Linked DNA regions of Danio rerio. The main gene of each other region encodes a partner of the protein of the gene in region 2 in a complex. Links are inferred from orthologs where the notes say so. Each region holds a gene or a part of one and is shown on either strand. Other genes may lie near its edges.

Region 1 (6,126 bases), on a different chromosome or scaffold from region 2:
AACCCTCTCTATTTGGGATGAGTTGGGTTAAAGTGTTTTATGGGCTTTATAGAATGTAAATATATGTTGTATGTCAGTGTCAAATATGAATTTCTGTCCAGAACCTCCATGCAGACAATAAAAGAAGGCACCAAACAGTCAAAAACAAAGAGCTGACAGACACTAAACAGCTGATGGAGTATACACTAACCTGCGCATTATTCAGCCACTAGATGGAGACAAACAGTCAAAAACACAACAGAAACTAAAACAGCTGATGGAGTATACACTAACCTGCGCATTATTCAGCCACTAGATGGAGACAAACAGTCAAAAACACAACAGAAACTAAAACAGCTGATGGAGTATACACTAACCTGCGCATTATTCAGCCACTAGATGGAGACAAATAGTCAAAAACACAACAGAAACTAAAACAGCTGATGGAGTATACACTAACCTGTGCATTATCCAGACACTAGATGGAGACAAACAGTCAAAAACACAACAGAAACTAAAACAGCTGATGGAATATACACTAACCTGCACATTATTCAGACACTAGATGGAGACAAACAGTCAAAAACACAACAGACACTAAAACAGCTGATGGAGTATACACTAACCTGCGCATTATTCAGACACTAGATGGAGACAAACGGTCAAAAACACAACAGACACTAAAACAGCTGATGGAGTATACACTAACCTGCGCATTATTCAGACACTAGATGGAGACAAACAGTCAAAAACACAACAGAAACTAAAACAGCTAATGGAGTATACACTAACTTGCACATTATTCAGACACAAGATGGAGACAAACAGACAAAAACACAACAGAAACTAAAACAGCTGATGGAGTATACACTAACCTGCGCATTATTCAGACACAAGATGGAGACAAACAGTCAAAAACACAACAGACACTAAAACAGCTGATGGAGTATACACTAACCTGTGCATTATTCAGACACAAGATGGAGACAAACAGTCAAAAACACAACAGAAACTAAAACAGCTGATGGAGTATACACTAACCTGCGCATTATTCAGACACAAGATGGAGACAAACAGTCAAAAACACAACAGACACTAAAACAGCTGATGGAGTATACACTAACCTGTGCATTATTCAGACACTAGATGGAGACAAACGGTCAAAAACACAACAGACACTAAAACAGCTGATGGAGTATACACTAACCTGCGCATTATTCAGACACTAGATGGAGACAAACGGTCAAAAACACAACAGACACTAAAACAGCTGATGGAGTATACACTAACCTGCGCATTATTCAGACACTAGATGGAGACAAACAGACAAAAACACAACAGAAACTAAAACAGCTGATGGAGTATACACTAACCTGCGCATTATTCAGACACTAGATGGAGACAAACAGTCAAAAACACAACAGACACTAAAACAGCTGATGGAGTATACACTAACCTGCACATTATTCAGACACAAGATGGAGACAAACAGTCAAAAACACAAAGCTGACAGACACTAAACTGGCTGAATGGAGCATAAACTATACAGGATCGCATCTAGAATGTTAGGGGCTGTTTACACATGGGGTCTCAATTATAAATATGATGTACGCAAAAAACAGGGGCGGAGATGTGCATTTAAAAAAAATCTGCGCCACTTTAAATCATCACATGGGCCATAATCATTAACAAATAAAGTGACATTTATTATGCTGTACACTCGCTTTTAAGAAGATTTCTAGGCAAATTTTATAAATCAGTTTCATCTGGACTTCAATTTGTTTATTCAAAGAAAATGAAACTAACTATTTTTAGACATTAGTATCAGTCTGTTAATATCTATAAGCTAGTGTGCTCTGAAACCGTGTCCAAATTTGCATTTAGAAGATCATCCAAAGCTTGCAGTTTGTCACTTCTGCCTAAAAACATCAACGTTTTTTTACAATGTCACCTCATACTAACACTTACATACGCTAACTTACATTATTTATTCACCAAACAGTCCCAAACAGTTAAAAACCACAGCGTGACAGACAATCAGACACACATGAATGTGAATGTAAGTGTATGGATGTGAACGTATTCACTGACGGGGTGTTATTCAGTGGTTGTTATCTGGGAATAACATACCTTGGAATTTTACAACCAACCATGTAACTAATAAAGTCAACCTGTGAATTTCAGCAGGTGAAGATTCAGTGTGATAGTCTGTTCATGACTACAGCATGTGAGGCCTGTGGAAGTAATGAGGTGTAAGATCAGAATGAGAAGTGTTTGTGGTTCTGCTGTACCTGCTCAGCTGCAGACGTGTCCTCTGTGTCTTGGTCTGCAGTCTCAGAGCTCTCGCTGGTGTTGGAAAACACTTCGGCTGCTGCTGATGAGGAGCTGCTACTGTCTGCAGCGGAGGAGCTGGATTCAGCCTGTGAACAAACACATGCTTCACCAATCAGAAACACTGCTACACACATGTGAATTACCAATAAAATGCGTATACTGGCCTAAATAAGTAGGTCACCCCGACCAAATATAGATTTGGTATATATTTTATACCATAAACATCTTGTAATGGCTGGTGGCAAGCTTTTCAAATAGTGGAAAAAACAACATTTAAATGAAAATGTTCTCTTGCAAATCTCCAGCGTCTCTCTGAGTTGTGAGTTTGTGAAATGTGTGTGTTCTGTTGGTGTGACCGCACCTTGAAGTTGATCTGCTGTGCCAGTCTCTGAGGGTCAGCGGGTCGAAGGTCACTGTCAGGAGAGAGAGGAAGCAGAGCCGAGCGCATACAGCTGCTGCACGCCTCACAGCAGAAATCCTGAGACCTGCCCAACACACACACACACATACACACAGCCAATTAAACCCACATGGACGGACGGATGGATACACGGATAGATGGATGGATAGATGGATAGCCAGATTGACAGATAGATGGACAGACGGACGGACGGATGGAATGGATAGATGGATGGACAGACAGATTGACAAATGGACGGACGGATGGATGGATGGACAGACAGATAGACAGACGGAGGGACGGACGGATGGACGGATGGATGGACAGACAGATTGACAAATGGACGGACGGATGGATGGATGGACAGACAGATTGACAGATAGATAGACAGACGGAGGGACGGACGGATGGATGGATGGACAGACAGATTTACAAACAGATAGATTGACAGATAGATAGACAGATTAATGGACGGACGGACGGATGGATGGAGACTGATGGACAGGCAGATTGACAGATAGATAGACGGATGGATGGATGGATTGATGGATGAATGGACAGACAGATTGACAGATGAATGGATGGATGGACAGACAGATTGATAGATAGACAGATGGACAGATGGACAAAAGGACAAATGGATGGATGGAAGGATAGATGGATGGACAGACAGATTGACAGATAGATAGACGAATGAATGGATGGACAGACAGACTGACAGATAGATAGATAGACAGATGGACGGATGGATGGATAGACGGATGGACAGACAGATTTACAAATGGACGGACGGATGGATGGACGGACAGACAGATTGACAGATAGATAGACAGACAGAGGGACGGACAGATGGATGGATGGATGGAGGGACAGACAGATTGACAGATGGATGGATGGACAGACAGACTGACAAACAGATTGACAGATAGATTGACAGATAGACAGATTAGTGGACGGATGGAGGGATGGATGGAGACTGATGGACAGACAGATTGACAGATAGATAGACGGATGGATGGATGAATGGACAGACAGATTGACAGATGAATGGATGGATGGACAGACAGATTGACAGATGGATGGACAGACAGACTGACAGATAGATTGACAGAAAGATAGACAGATGGACAGATGGACGGATGGACAGACAGATTGACAGATAAATAGACAGACAGATGGATGGATGGATAGATGGATAGCTAGATAGACGGATGGATGGATGGATGGACGAACGAATGGACAGATGGATGGATGAATGGATAGATGGACAGACAGACGGACAGACAGAAAGATAGATAGATGGATAGACAGAAGGATGACGGACAAACAGACAGACAGATAAATAGAGATAGATAGATAGATAGATAGATAGATAGATAGATAGATAGATAGATAGATAGTAATTAATTTTTAATTTTTAAATAATTTGGATGTATTTACAGTAGGAAATTAACAGTGCTGTCCACTGCGCCACCGTGTAGCCCTAACCGCAGCTTTATGTGCCGTAAATAAGTGCACAATGAGGGAATAGAAAAGCCCAAAAACATGTTAAATAACAAATCCACAAGCAGAACAGCAGGCTGATGATTCTAGAGTTGATCCCACAGACCTGCTCCTCTAGTTTTCATGTCCTGGTATGTGCGTGTGTGTGTGTGTGTGTGTGTGTGTGTGTGTGTGTGTGTGTGTGTGTGTGTGTGTGTGTGTGTGTGTGTGTGTGTGTGTGTGTGTGTGCGTGCGTGTGTTGGAGGTGGCTGTTTAATCAGCACGTGTTGATTGGAAATGAGCCGCTGATGGCAGCAGTCACACGCGTGTTTCTTCTGAAGGACTCAGCATGTCCACACACGTCCCAGCAGCACCTCTCAGTCTCCAGGGCAGATGAGGAGCCTTTATCATGAAGCTGAAGACTCTTCCTGTGAATATTCAATTTCCCCAGTGCTGTTCAACGAGGAGAGGATTGAACAGCAGACGCTTCAAAACCAACAGCTTTAATAACTCTGCTTTAGTCTTTGCCCCAATGAGAGTACATAACATTTTACAGGATACTAGTATTGTATGGTGAGAGACAGTGGCTAGGTGGTTAGCACTGTCGCATCACAGCAAGAAGGTTGCTGGTTCGAGTCCCAGCTAATTCGAGCTGTGTGTGGAGTTTGCATGTTCTCCCCGTGTTGGCGTGGATTTCATCCAGGTGCTCCGGTTTCTACCACAGTTCAAACACATGCGCTATAGGGGAATTGGGTGAGCTAAAATGTCTGTGTGTGAATGAGTGTGTATGGGTGTTTTCCAGTACTGGGTTGCAGCTTGAAGGGCATCCGCTGTGTAAAACATATGCTGGATAAGTTGGCAGTTCATTCTGCTGTGGCGACCCCTGAATTATAAAGGGACTAAGCCAAAGGAAATTGAATGAATGAATGAATTTACTTATGTATTTCTTGCGCTTAATATATATATATATATTTCTCTCTCTATATATAAATATGTATATGCAGGGCTTGACATTAACTTTTTTTTGATCACCAGCCACTGTGGCTAGTGGATTTCCAACGTTACTAGCCACTTGCCATTTTTAATAGCCGAATGTACGGGGTCAACAGTGTCCTGAGATTGTGAAACAAATAAATGATTTAAAAGTGTAGATTACAGGTTTCTAGGCTCAAAAGTAAAATAAAAAAATTAACAAAAATGAAAAATATCTCAATCTATTTGTTTATTAATCATTTAATTGGTTTATTTTGTGCTAATATTTCCTTTGCTTAAGCTTTAATACATGTATAGTTTCTATATGTATTTTAATTATTCCGTCTATTTTCTTTTCATGCCTGCTAAATTGTTTATTTATTACTTTTTTTTAATTTGGTAAATAAAGCAATGCTACTGAGACCCGGAAAGGACGGAATGGTGGAGAAAAAAAATGGGTGAGAGAAAAAAAAAAAACGAGTGAAAAAAAAACCCAACGCAATCTCACGGCAATTCGTAACTTTTTGATTTAGTGGCTAATTCGTATGAATTCGTTTGATCTAATTTGTACAATTAAGTAAAATTTTTGTTGCCATGGTGTTTAGTCTTTATTCCTGCTGAATAATGGAAGGAAAAAGAATATAAATAAAGGGGTAGAAGATCTTACTTTTTGGCGAGAGCTTTTCTCTCCTCAGGAGTGTAGTCCAGAGATCCGATCGCTCCTTCTCCTTTAGTCGGCATGAATCCTATAATCGCTATTAAAGCAGTCCGGACTGACAAACAAAACATTCAGCTTTAATTGAAAGAGTGATCACTGATACAAACTGAAAGAAAAAAAAACATTGAGCATTTCTAAGTGTGCCTCACACAGGTGAGTGGGCTTGCCAAACCACCAGTAGAAACACTCTTCTCTCCATATGCACCAGACACTGTAAGCGCACATATAATGCGTCTTTGCA
Region 2 (6,602 bases):
ATATACCTGGGTGTTTTGGTGTGTGTGTGACATTGCATGCAAGGTTTCTGTATTCATAACCAGGATATTGGGGGTCGCGAGTCACTGGCATCGTCATATTAGGGGTCGCAGGCTGAAAAGTTTGGAAACCTCTGTGTTAGAAAATGAGATTATAATAGGTTTGCATCTATGGGTGTTTGGCCCAAGTCTTGATCAGTATCCATTGGCAAATAATGCTACAGTGAGGGCTACAGGTCAACAGGTTATCTAACAGACCTACACAAATCTCTGTATAAACTAAATATTGAAGAGGACCTATTTTACCCCTTTTACACAATGTAAGATACGCCTTTGGTGTCTCCAGAATGTGTCTGTAAAGTTTCAGGTCAAAATACCCATCAGATTATTTAATATAGCCTCCAGAATTTGTCCATTTTGGTGTCTGAGTACAGTGTAGCTGTTTTTGTAGCCTGTGGCTTTAAATAAAAATAAGCTGCTTCTCCCAGCCCAACGCTCCCACATGCATGTCGGCTTCACGTTACATCAGATAAACAGCAGTCAGTAATAAAGACAGACATGGATAAAGCTCAAATACAGCTCAGTCAAAAATATCAACTAAGCTTTTTTCATGTATGTGTGTTGGAGTTTATTCAAGCCTTTCGAAAATGATGAGTCACACACAAATGCCAATTGCAGTACACACACATATATATTTGTATTTGCTGACACCATGCGTGGTGTCAGCAAAGTGGTTGTTATAGCAGTTAAGAATTAGATAGCGATTTAACTTTCTTTATTAGAAACATGCTCTGTTTTACAAACGTTTTAAACTTATAAAACTGTGAAAGAAATCACAGAGAGTTGGAAGTGATTTAAAAAAATGTTCTGTTGACGTGTATATATGTTATTATAGAAACATGGCACCTGTCAATCAATTCAGTGGGCGGGGAAAACCGCATTCTTACGTCAAGTTGCAGTGGGGCTCAAAATCACTGGGATTTGGGTCCTATTTTAACATCAGGAAATTTAAAAAAAAGAGGCTTCTTGTGTTTCTATGACTTTAATATGACCGTGGACAAACTATACCTACACACAGTTCTGTCCAAACCGTTTTACAAAAGATGATATATATATATATATATATATATGCATAACTCACGCAGATAAGCTGACAGTGGATGCTGGTACCACCAAAACCCGATTCGGTTGCACCAGGACTGTCGTGTCACATGAGACGACTCGAAGACCCAAAAGAAACTTTCCTGGAGTGGCACCTCCAGCTCCCCAAATACAGATGATCTGCAGAAAAAGACAAAAACAGACTGTATGAGTGCAGGCAAGATGTCTACAATTTATTCAAATCACTTTAGACCACAGAGTTTTCCCTCCAAATACTGTTATTAAGCAACAAGAGTACAAGGATGAAAATGCTGATCAAAAATGTACTGTGAATATATACAAGGTTTGTAATTTTGTTTTTCCAAGATGAAAAAAAAAACATGCTAGAATCTCAAGGAGACTCACTTACTTCATAAACACACACCAGTACTCTGTATGCTAAAGCCACGACCATCATCTTCTGCAGGTCCTCCAATGACGTGTTCTCATCAATCTCTTCCACTATAAACTGCATTATGAATTTGGAAATATCTCTGTTCAGAAGATCAAAGAAGACATTTGAACTGTCATTATACAATACTCTATGCAATATATTTAAAATGCCATGTGTCATTTGCTCAAAATAATGTTAAAGGTGTAGGCCTAATAATGCATAAATAATTACAATCTAATAGAACTGTTTATTATTTAATATATTTTCCTGTGCTCAATAAACATTTCTAATCATTATCAATGTTAAAAACAGATGTTGCTTAAAAATAAAAGCACTTACTGATTTTTCTGTGGTCTTTTGGGCATTTTATTTTAATTGAAATCCTGTCTTAATAAAAGTATTTTCTTTTAAATATATATTCTCAACTCACTTCATTCCACAGAGATGCATGATCCACAACACTATGGTTGCTTTCACACAGAAGAGAATGAAGAAATCGACAGTTTCAGCCAGAAATCTGCGTAGAGGAGAGGGTATAATGTATTCTCTACCTGAAAGGAAAAAGATCATGTTATGAAAGACTACCTATGGATGCACGTTTAATATTTTCACTGTCACAAAAACTGTGCATTCTTAAGTTAGTTTATTTGACTTGATTCTTGCATTAAAACATATAGTAGTACGTGTCATGTAAATTAATGTTGTTCTTTTTAGTCTTTAAGCTTTTTAGTTTCTTGAATCAAATTATTTCACATTGAACACACTGGCCGGGAAATGCCCATTTTAGACTTTTTTATTGTTGTTTAAAATGTTTAAATATACTAGGTACTACTGAATTTAATTAAAGTTACTTATATAGCGCTTTTCACAGTAGTTATTGTTTCAAATCAGCTTTTCAAAAGATGCAAATTATTGTAATATAATCAAAATCAGAAAAGTTGAGTTATTAGTTACCATAACTGTATTAATTGCTAGTAAATACTTTAATTAACTAGTAAGCAATAGCTTTTAACAGTTCAAGTTATTATATATAAGCATAGTTGAGTTGCAGTTACACAGTATGTAGGTGATGTCATTGTTGTACATGTTCAATGAAGTGCATCATCATCTCTTCACAGATCTTGGATAGCACTACTAAAGAACTATAATACTGACACAAATAGCTCCATATTCTGAGCGGGAAAGTGGCATAGAATCACTTGTGATCTTCAGAGCGAACCACAAAAAATTACATTTACTATTAATTTACATTTACAAAACCAAATGAATAATGGTTATAAAAACACAGCATTGTAATATACAAATAAAGTGTGTTCAGTTTCCTGCATATCATTTCACTTCAAATGTTGTCAATGTATCTTCATCATGAGCCACGTGTATTAGTTTTACTTTGCCTCTGCATGTTTTTTTGACACTCAAGGTGTCAGTAGTCATTGACAAGACAGAGTGCATTATAATTTTGGGGTAAACTATCCCTTTAAATTAGGAAATACATAATACCAAAGTGAATACAACTATAGAGACTGTGAAGGAAAATCTACAATTTACACAAAATGTAAATGAATTTTATTAGGTTCTTTATTAACGTGTGTTTTAAGGATTTTTGTTTAAAGCTAACTAGTCTTTCTTCTCAGATGACTGCGTTACTGACAGTTACTCTACCTGCGGGCTGTGCTGCCCCTCTGTCCCCAGTGCTGGATGTGGCGGTGTCTGCTGGACGGATGGCTCCCGGGCTGCTCATTTGGTTGTACCAGGCGGCGATGTCCGCCGGCGTTGTGGGATACACGGATGCAGAGCTGCCCGGTGCCTGGCAACCGAACTGAGGCGGAGGAAAGAGCGGCGCGGACATCAACACCCAGCTCTGCCAGCTCACATATCCGCTGTAGTAGCGCCACATCCACTGCTGCAGCCGCGCGCAGTACTCGTTCGTTGTCATCTTATCATCGTCATTGGCTCCTTCGCCGTTTTTGTCCGCCTCTTTCGCACTGTTCTTCTTTGCCATGTTCACCTCTTAAATAAATCCTATTTTCACTTCCTTCCACTCACTAAAGAGGCTAATCTTCTCAGAGAACGGCCATGACAACTGCTCATTTAAGCTGGAATATACCATTGTACCCGTGGTGCAACGTGCTTGGAGTTGTTTTGTGTTTTTACTTTAATATCTTTGACAAGCGAATGAAACTAAATTTTCATAATTAGTTTTTTGTAGCAAAACGATTGTGCAAACTGGTCACGTAGATTCAAATAAAAAATGCCCGCCATTTGTGCACCCCCGTGTTATTCAATAATGTTGCAGCCTGCAAAGTTTACAAAAAGGTTCATAGCAGAGAAATGAGCTACATTGTTCGTGTTTATTCATTTTGGTTAATTAAACATATCGGATTGATTATTGTTAGTTTGTTAGCTCAGTTCCAGTAAGCTATCGGTTAGTAAATGTTTACTAACACTTTAATGTTAAATTAACCGTAAATAAATTCTCTGTGTTTATGTTAACTAATGCTGTAGTTAAACTTATGTTAAATGAAACCTTTATTGTAAAGTGTTACCATGTTAATAACAATCGGTTATTCAACACAGAAGTCATATAACTATAAACGATTTAAATAATTTTTTTATTTGTAGCTAGTAAAATATTGAAAGTAGATACTATATCCCTGCTGAAAAAGCTTAAACCAGCCTATTTTCTAGCCTGACCAAGACCAGGCTGAAAATGACAGGACACCAGCCTGGAAATGGCCAAAACCCCTCTAAAACCAGACTGGTCAATCAGCTAAAACCAGTCAACCAGCCTAGGCTAGTTTAAGCGTTTTTTTAGCAGGGATGTAATGGTAAAATATTTATACTTACAGAAAAAAGTAATTAACCTGCTAGTGACTTATTACTTTATTTATTTATATTATCAGATTTTTACAATAATTTATAAATATGGGTAAAATGGTGGCTTAGTGGTTAGCACTGTTCTCCTCACAGCAAGAAGGTCGCTCGTTCGAGCCTCTTCTGGGTCAGTTGGCATTTCTGTGTGGAGTTTGCATGTTCTCCCAGTGTTTGCGTGAGTTTTCTCCGGGTGCTCCGATATCCCCCACAATCCAAAGACATGCGGTACAGGTGAATTAAATAAGCTAAATTGGCCGTGTGTATTTGTGTGAATGAGAGTGTATGGGTGTTTCCCAGTACTGGGTTTCAGCTAGAAGGGCATGCTGGATAAGTTTGTGGTTCATTTTGCTTAGGCGACCCCTTACGAATAAAGTAATTAAGCCGAAAATGAATGAATAAAGGCATTGAATAAAATAAGTGTTATAATAGCCTACGTAATGGTAAAATAATTTTTTTACAGAAAAAATGGTAGTGCTGGAGACTTAAGGCTGCTTTATTTTTATTCTATCTATCTATCTATCTATCTATCTATCTATCTATCTATCTATCTATCTATCTATCTATCTATCTATCTATCTATCTGATTTTTTATATTTACATAAATATAATGTTGACAAATAGGCCTACTATATTTTCGTGTTTTGAAGAAAAGTTTTATTAATGAGCACATAAATTAAATGTTCTTCTTAATAAAAAATCCACACGTTATTAACCCCAGAAAACATTCATTTAACAATTTTAGAATGTTTTTGGGTGTTAATAACGTGTGGATTCATTATAAAGATGGCGAGCTAAGCACATGTAGTTTTCTCTGCTCTATATTTTTGATTTATTGACCAAGATTCTATATTGTATCATCCCGATTACAGTTTTATTGTTGACTCGTTTAAGTAGATTGAAATTCTTTCAACAAAATAAAGCTCTACACAACCCCCCAACCCCAAAAAAGAAAGTTAGTCATCTTTGTTTAAATTCATTACCACTAGATGGCGACAGTGTCTTTTACATGATTTAGAATTTGCAGTGAAAATGAACTGATTTATTCTCAATATTTTCTGCATTTTAACATGTATGTCAACATAAATTTAATGACACATACTCCTAAACATAACACTTTTTTTATCAAGAAGCACTGAGAAGGAATGAACTGTATAAACTCTATGTACTTAAATTCAGTTTTAGCAAATACATAAAACTGAGATTTACTATGCTGATTTAGACATCAGCATATCAATGTGAAGCTATAAGGTAATAAACGTTTCACTAAATATCAACCAGAATCAACGCTTGTTTTACCCCTACGCTTGTTATGGCGGCCAGCTGTTAAGAGACAGTGATGTATTAAAGTCTCATTCTCTGCTGGGTGTGTATTTGCTGACTGGGCTGCCCTGGGCCTGTGAGTAAGGTCTGGCCGGCCTATAGTGACTGTGCTGGGCCCTGAATGGAGGCCTCCAGGCGGAACAGAATCGGGCCATGTGAGGATGATCATCTCTGACAGGACGTGAGGTGACTTGCGCAGAAATAATCAGGGCCAAATAAAAGCTGTGTCTAGCAAACGCTGACCTGCATGGAAGCTGCCACTGGTGCAGGATTAAAGGCGAGGTGTGTGAGTGTGTGATTGGGTTTGCGGTTGATACACATGTAATCATATAGCATCTGCACAAAAAAAAATAAAAAAATCAATCAACAGGGGGTAAAGTGGTCAAAATGTAGTCACATTACAAATGCTGATCAAACTTACTGTCATAAAAAATTGTGTCAAGAGTTGTTGCAACGTCTGTTTAGGGAGGCTAAATAATAATAAATAAATAAATACTTTTGTCTTTTATAATTTGTTTTGTTTTTTGTCATCATTTATTTTAAACTATATATATATATATATATATATAACCCCGATATATATATATATCAATACAGCCATATTGCACTGCTACGAGTGTGATATTATGTTTATACAACAGTTCGATGGCATAATCGTGTATATAAAAAAAAGAAAATCAAACACGAAGACATTTGTCTCTGAAAGTCAGAACCGCAGAAACAGTCCAAAACGGGTGATTTTGCTCACATTTGAAATGTATAAGGCTGAACGGCATGAAATGTCATCAGTCTACAGAGATTTCCCAGTATTTCACTGTTGCCAATCAGGAGATCACAATAATTAACCCCGAAAAAGCCAAAGTAGAGCAAAAACACT
Region 3 (6,126 bases), on a different chromosome or scaffold from region 2:
ATGAGATATAGTTTTATAAAACTTCTGAAAAAAATTAACATATTGACAGCCAAAGCTCAAGAATTCAAAGCAGAAGCTGACAAAAACTGAAGTGCGTGTTTAAAGTAAACTCCATTAACTAGAATAAATTATATTTTAATTTACAGTTGAGTCAGTCTTAAAGCATCTTCCATTCAGACTTGAGAATTGTCCACTTCAGTTAAAAATAAATGGTTCAGTGCGATTTGCAAATTGAATATAAATAAATATAACACATTTTTTAACAAATATAAGGGTGTAAAAAGTCAAATATTATGCTTTGCAGTTAAGCAAAAGATTCCCATAATAAAATACCCCAATAAAGTGCAGGTACTTAAAGAGTCTCAAAAATAAAAATTTACTCACCCTCGTGTGGTTTCAAACAAAATAAAAACATTGTTAAGAAAGTTTGCAACCAGCAACATCTGACTTTCATGGTAAGAAAACCAAATACTATGGAAATGAATGGTTCCAGCTTTTTTCTAAATATCTTATTTTGTGTTTATCAGAAGAAAGTCAAACATGATTGGAACAAGTGAAGAGTGGGTAATTGATGACAGAATTTTCTGTTTTGTGTAAAAGTTTGTAGTAATAAAGTAAAAACTGTTCTCTCTGATCATATTCTCTCAATCAAAAATGTTGTTTTGAAAAAAAAGCACATTTGGAGTGGCTATGTAGAGTATGTGTAAATTAAGACGTAATAAATGATGTACATTTATAGTCATTTTAGGTCATGTTAAAATGATAAACTACATGTCGCTGTGATCTGAAGCTTGTTCATGTTTTGTTTGCAGACCAAAGACTGGTGGACCTATGAGTTCTGCTACGGCCAGCACATCAGACAATACCACTTAGAAGGCAGGTTAAATCTTTTATCTAATGTGTCTTGGATAAATTGAGTTTTACATGGTCTAAAAAATATATATGCACTGCCTGTATAAACATGTTTTTTATTAGTAGATGGAAAGGAATTTAGAGAATTTAGGACAGAAGCCTTTCAGGAAAATGCACTGCCTATAAATATATACTATTAAATATTTCAAGATGTTTGAAATGTGTTCCCTATATGTGATCGCAGATTCGGAGATCAAGGGAGATGTACTGTTTTTGGGATATTATGATACAGAGTTTGACTGGACGAATGAAACTGCAAAGGTAAGGTCAGGTTTGTTAATCTTGATTTGCTTGTCCTAATAAAATGTCTGTAAATGTTGTCAATTCAAATTAGGAATTCTGATACTAGCAGTAAATATTTTTTATTAACCACTTTTATGTTAACAAGTCTGTAGTTATCTTCTATATATTTTGTAGTTACAAAATTAAAATCTTGTTGATCTTTTTTTTTCAGGCATCTAAGCAGCATAAGCTGAAGAGGTATCACAGTCAGTCATATGTCAATGGCTCAAAATGTGACTTAAACGGCAGTCCCAGAGAGACGGAAGTCAGAGTAAGATACTAAGTGCCATATTCCAGACTATAGAGAAAAATAATGAAGAAAGAGTATTATTGAAGTCAGTCTAATGGCTAACAATAAACAATAAGGACACTAGTTAACTGTTGTGACTAGTCTTCTTAATTCTGCTGCTGTATGCACACACACTGTAGAATACCTTCACTATACAGATGTTGAGCTCATTAGACCTCAAGTAATGCATATATATATATATATATATATATATATATATATATATATATATATATATATATATATATATATATATATATATATATATATACATATATATACATACATATATACATACATACATACATACATACATACATACACACACACAATTTAAGGTTAGATAGATCCTTAAATGGATCAATCCTAGGTAGATCAAATTGAGGCTAGATAGATCTGTCCTTTACAACAAGCACATGCAATAATCTCAGATCTGATTCACAAACTTGTTTGAAGAACCAAATCAGCCAGAGACCAGTTATCATGATTAAAAGATCCAGGATCTGTCAGATTATCTTTGTTTAAGCGAGGTACAAAGAACGGACCCCAGTAGTTTACATCAGCAACATAGAATTGTATTTTAATCTAATGGCAATGATAATCTATATATGTATATTGTGTTTTTAACAGTTTGTGTGTGAGGAAGGCTCTACTGACTTCATTTCACGGGTGGATGAACCCCAGTCTTGCCGCTACGTCTTGACAGTCCACACCTCTCGCACGTGCCAGCATCCCCTTCTGCGCCCACCGTCCACTGCCAAACCACAAGGCATTGTGTGCCAACCTGCTCTCAGTGCCCAGCAGTACATGGACTACGTCAAGGCTCAAGTCTGTAAGTATGAGAGGTGATGATTTTTTTTACTTTACATCAAGGCACTGTAATTTAGGGATCGATTGGTGAAAATATCCAATGTTACAAATGATTTTGCTGTGATTCTGTTAACATGACATTAATTAGCTACACTTAATTTGCTGTTTATATGGTTGTCAAGAGTCTCCAAAGAATCCTTCACTTTACTGCATGACTGTGAGATGTTGAGGAGGATATATTTTGTGTTTAAAAGATGAGTTAATGCATTTAAAAATCAGTTAATAAATTTAAAAATTGTATTATTTTTTTATTATATCAATAATATATCAATTAAAATAATTAATCATGTTTTTGTATTTGTATACTGTTTAATTACTTTTTAACAGGTAAAATCAAACTGATCGAAATTAAAGATATTATTTATATATTTTATATTTTTGTTGTATGGTTTTTCTTCCGCCTTGATTGTGTTTATTAATTGTCTCTGTATTTTTTGTAATTTTGATTTTATTTATTTTAATTTATACAAAACAAAAAGTAAAATATATCTTAGGAAATTTACCAGAAAAAAAATGTATTATATTGTTTGAGTTGATGTTATTTCATCAAGTAACAGCATTAATTTTGTGCTAGTGGTTTTAACTAGCTATAACCCTGCTCACCCAGGAGAGATGACCTATATGCTGTCAAATGTTAATTACACTACTATTACAATAACAGGATATGGATTGCTATGGCAGCGCATTAAGCCCAGTCTATTGTGACTCCGTTCATTATTCAACAGTTGTTGCTTTCACCTTTTACACATACAGTGCTGTATACTTACTTGCATAGAAACCTTCAGAATCATAATCAGATATTTTTATTCACAATTTCTTTCCTTATCACTCATTACACTATTCATAAAAATGCCCTCGCTGCCAAGTTCTGTCCTATTAGATTAGATCTCCGGAGATGCAATCAGCCTACATTTAATTGTACTCTGTTCTCCAATTGATTCATTATTTTTAGCACCTAGACATCTGTCGTTGCCTCTCTCTCTGTCTCAGCTGACACCAAACGTAAAGTGGAGCAGATCTCAGAGGAGCTCAGAAACCTGGATGAAATTCTGTCCAAGGATGACAAGAACAAAGGTGTGCTGGATGACAGAACAGATGAGGAACCTGCAGTTAGCTCTGATGAGCCTCCAGTTTCCAAGGCCCAAAAAAAAGGTCAGCATTCAGACTGTGATTTGATTTCTTTATACTTGTATGACTGGGTTAGTTTTAAGGCCATCTACAACACCCTCAAAATCAGTCTTGAGTTTTTCAACCTCAATCCTGCAGTTATAGTTCAATGCACTGGGTGGTGCTGTGTAAAGGAAATATAAAACTGAGTTGGTGAGAAGTGATATATACAGGGGCGCTGCTGTTCAGTACAGGCCCTATGACAACTTTGTAGAATTGTACAACTTTGTACATGGTTACTAATAGTAACTCTAGGGCCCCCAAAACGGCGTGGGTCCTTGGAATGGTCCTAACTTTTCCCCCTAGCAGCGCCCGTGGTTATATGTTTTGTTTTCATGACCAGTTTTTAAGGAGACGCTGCTAATAAATAGTGTAAAAAATATTGGCATCACCACACTTTTTTTAGTTATTTGATTGTTTATATATGATTAAACAAGCAAATAAGGCATAATTTAAACAAATATGCACTGTTTTGCATAGATTTCTAACACAAAAATTAGAACATTGAAGGAAATCAGCTTCAGAATTCTTCTTCTTCTTCTTCTCTCTCTATTTTATTTTTACATTAGATTAATAGATTTTTACCAAGGGGATTTTGGATATGTCTTTCCATCAGATATTGTTTTGAACAGACAGACACATTAGAGTAATATATCTTTTTGTCAAGTGAGATTTGGGTATGTTTTTGTCATTAGATATTGCTGCAAACAGACAGAAAAAAATCGCATTGTTTTTTTTAGATTAGAGCACAGGGAGTCAATGGGCAAAAACAAAATTTTAGGCCTTTTTACTGTCCAATTTTAACTCCCTAATCAGGGAAAGAAAACTAAAGCAGCACATTCATTTACATGATCTTTTATTAATAGAAAATCTATTTACAAAAGTAACTGGGCCATTAGAAAAAATCCTTATAGTGTTTAGCCCTGTAGAAGTATAAAACTTCAATCTCAATGGTCTTAAAGTCTTACATTTGTCTTGGAAGTCTGCAAAAACCCTGACAATAGATTTTTACCAATTTTACAGATTTTTATGATTTTCTTCATCAAATATTACTGTGAACAGACAGAAAATGTCTTAAAATTCAAAAACAACGTTTTAGGCTTTATGAAGTCTTAAATTCACTAAAATATTGTGCTGTTGGTCTTAAATCATTTTAAAACAGTTAAATCTCCCCAATCAGTTCAATTACCATTACTCCATCTTAAAACATTTTTATTGCAAAGAGATGCAATTCACAATGACAGTTAGACGTTTTTACAGCAAATTCGCCTAATTAAATTACTTAATCAGGGGGAAAAACGAAAGCAACACATCCATTTACATGACCTTTTGTTAATGGAAAAACTATTTACAGAAGTAACTGGGCCATTAGAAAAAAAGTATAAAATTTCAGTCTTAATGGTCATAAAGTTTTAGCCTGCAGAGACCCAGAGAGCAATAGAATTTTACCAAGGGGATTTTAGTCCGTCTTGTCATCAGAAATTACTGTGAACAGACAGTAAAAATATTCCTCTGTGAAAAGCCTTAAAAATACATATTATAGTTAAAATCTTTATACAATGCGGCAAAAGAAGCACTTTGAAGTCTATTTTGCATGTTTTCTTTTCATTAGACTGGAAAAAAAAAACACTTTCTGAACAACCAAAATTGCTAAATTGGGGTGCATGTTAACATGTTTTTCCTGTTTCTCGACAAAGTCTAAGAATATTAAAATATGATTGACGCATGTGGCTGCAAAACCTCTTTGGGTCACCAATGTATATGTTTATCATATTAGTTTTTGACCTACTAACTACAAAATGAATTAAAATGGCAATCTCTGACATTGTATTACAGTATTTATTTTCACATCTTTTTATAAAACATTCAGGTGTGTCGTCTTGTGCATGTATAGTTTGTAGCTTTTTTGTTTATTATTTCAGTCTTGCTTTTACATTCTTGTTCTCTTCTTTAAGCTGTCTCTTTAGCAGCTTCCATGCAGCCTTCAAACAAATATCTGTGTATGTGTGATATAACAGAGGGTGAAGTTGCTGAGAAGTCGACGAGTGAAGAGCCAGAGGACAAAGACTTCTGGGAAGGAGTTACCAAACCAGCACACACAAAGCCAAGCACACCTGACACAGAGGTACAAACTGTCTGGAAATGAACATAATGTGAACCAGACATCTTCATAGTGAGATTTGGTCATTTACTTCATTTTACAACTCTCTTACAGACCCCTCAGGAGCCACAGGACAACCAATTACATGAAAATGATTGTAAGACAATTATTTTAATTAAACATAAAGTAACTATGTTGCATAAGAAGTTTTTTTTTCTTGAATCAAAAATGTAGCATCAGTTTTATTTAGTTTATTAATGAGTACCATACACAACCAGAATTACAGTATCTATGAAGCTAAAATTGGTCTTGATTTAAGGGTGATAAATTTATAGATGTTATGTAACAAGTAAAGCTGTGCTGTACAATCAAAACTTTATTTTTAACAATTTGTAAAATTTCTGCCATGAAACTATGCGCAAGCAGGCTGATTGGTTACCTAATCTGCCCCTGCGTCATGAGTTGAAATGCTCTGCGTCATTTTACGCTGTCAAGCTGCTGCATG

The links. The genes of interacting proteins can lie anywhere in the genome.
Region 1: fam8a1a (region 2) and ube2j1 share a complex: the UniProt entries of both Homo sapiens proteins name them as parts of the HRD1 complex. The link is inferred for Danio rerio from reciprocal best matches to the Homo sapiens genes FAM8A1 and UBE2J1.
Region 3: fam8a1a (region 2) and os9 share a complex: the UniProt entries of both Homo sapiens proteins name them as parts of the HRD1 complex. The link is inferred for Danio rerio from reciprocal best matches to the Homo sapiens genes FAM8A1 and OS9.

The regions. Positions count from the first base shown.
Region 1 is NC_133195.1:1,226,415-1,232,540, forward strand, and holds part of ube2j1 (ubiquitin-conjugating enzyme E2 J1), read right to left. Parts: intron 5,941-6,126; coding exon 5,835-5,940; intron 2,799-5,834; coding exon 2,675-2,798; intron 2,400-2,674; coding exon 2,271-2,399; exon of another isoform or gene 1,240-2,270; intron 1,075-1,239; exon of another isoform or gene 1-1,074. UniProt on the Homo sapiens protein: Catalyzes the covalent attachment of ubiquitin to other proteins. Functions in the selective degradation of misfolded membrane proteins from the endoplasmic reticulum (ERAD) and is essential for cells to recover from ER stress.
Region 2 is NC_133194.1:34,652,727-34,659,328, reverse strand, and holds the start of fam8a1a (protein FAM8A1), read right to left. Parts: upstream 3,620-6,602; 5' UTR 3,534-3,619; coding exon 3,194-3,533; intron 2,083-3,193; coding exon 1,962-2,082; intron 1,632-1,961; coding exon 1,508-1,631; intron 1,279-1,507; coding exon 1,139-1,278; intron 113-1,138; coding exon of another isoform or gene 94-112; exon of another isoform or gene 13-93; intron 1-12. UniProt on the Homo sapiens protein: Plays a role in the assembly of the HRD1 complex, a complex involved in the ubiquitin-proteasome-dependent process of ER-associated degradation (ERAD).
Region 3 is NC_133181.1:41,760,479-41,766,604, reverse strand, and holds part of os9 (protein OS-9), read left to right. Parts: intron 1-812; coding exon 813-876; intron 877-1,096; coding exon 1,097-1,173; intron 1,174-1,366; coding exon 1,367-1,465; intron 1,466-2,113; coding exon 2,114-2,315; intron 2,316-3,343; coding exon 3,344-3,505; intron 3,506-5,538; coding exon 5,539-5,645; intron 5,646-5,735; coding exon 5,736-5,778; intron 5,779-6,126. UniProt on the Homo sapiens protein: Lectin component of the HRD1 complex, which functions in endoplasmic reticulum (ER) quality control and ER-associated degradation (ERAD).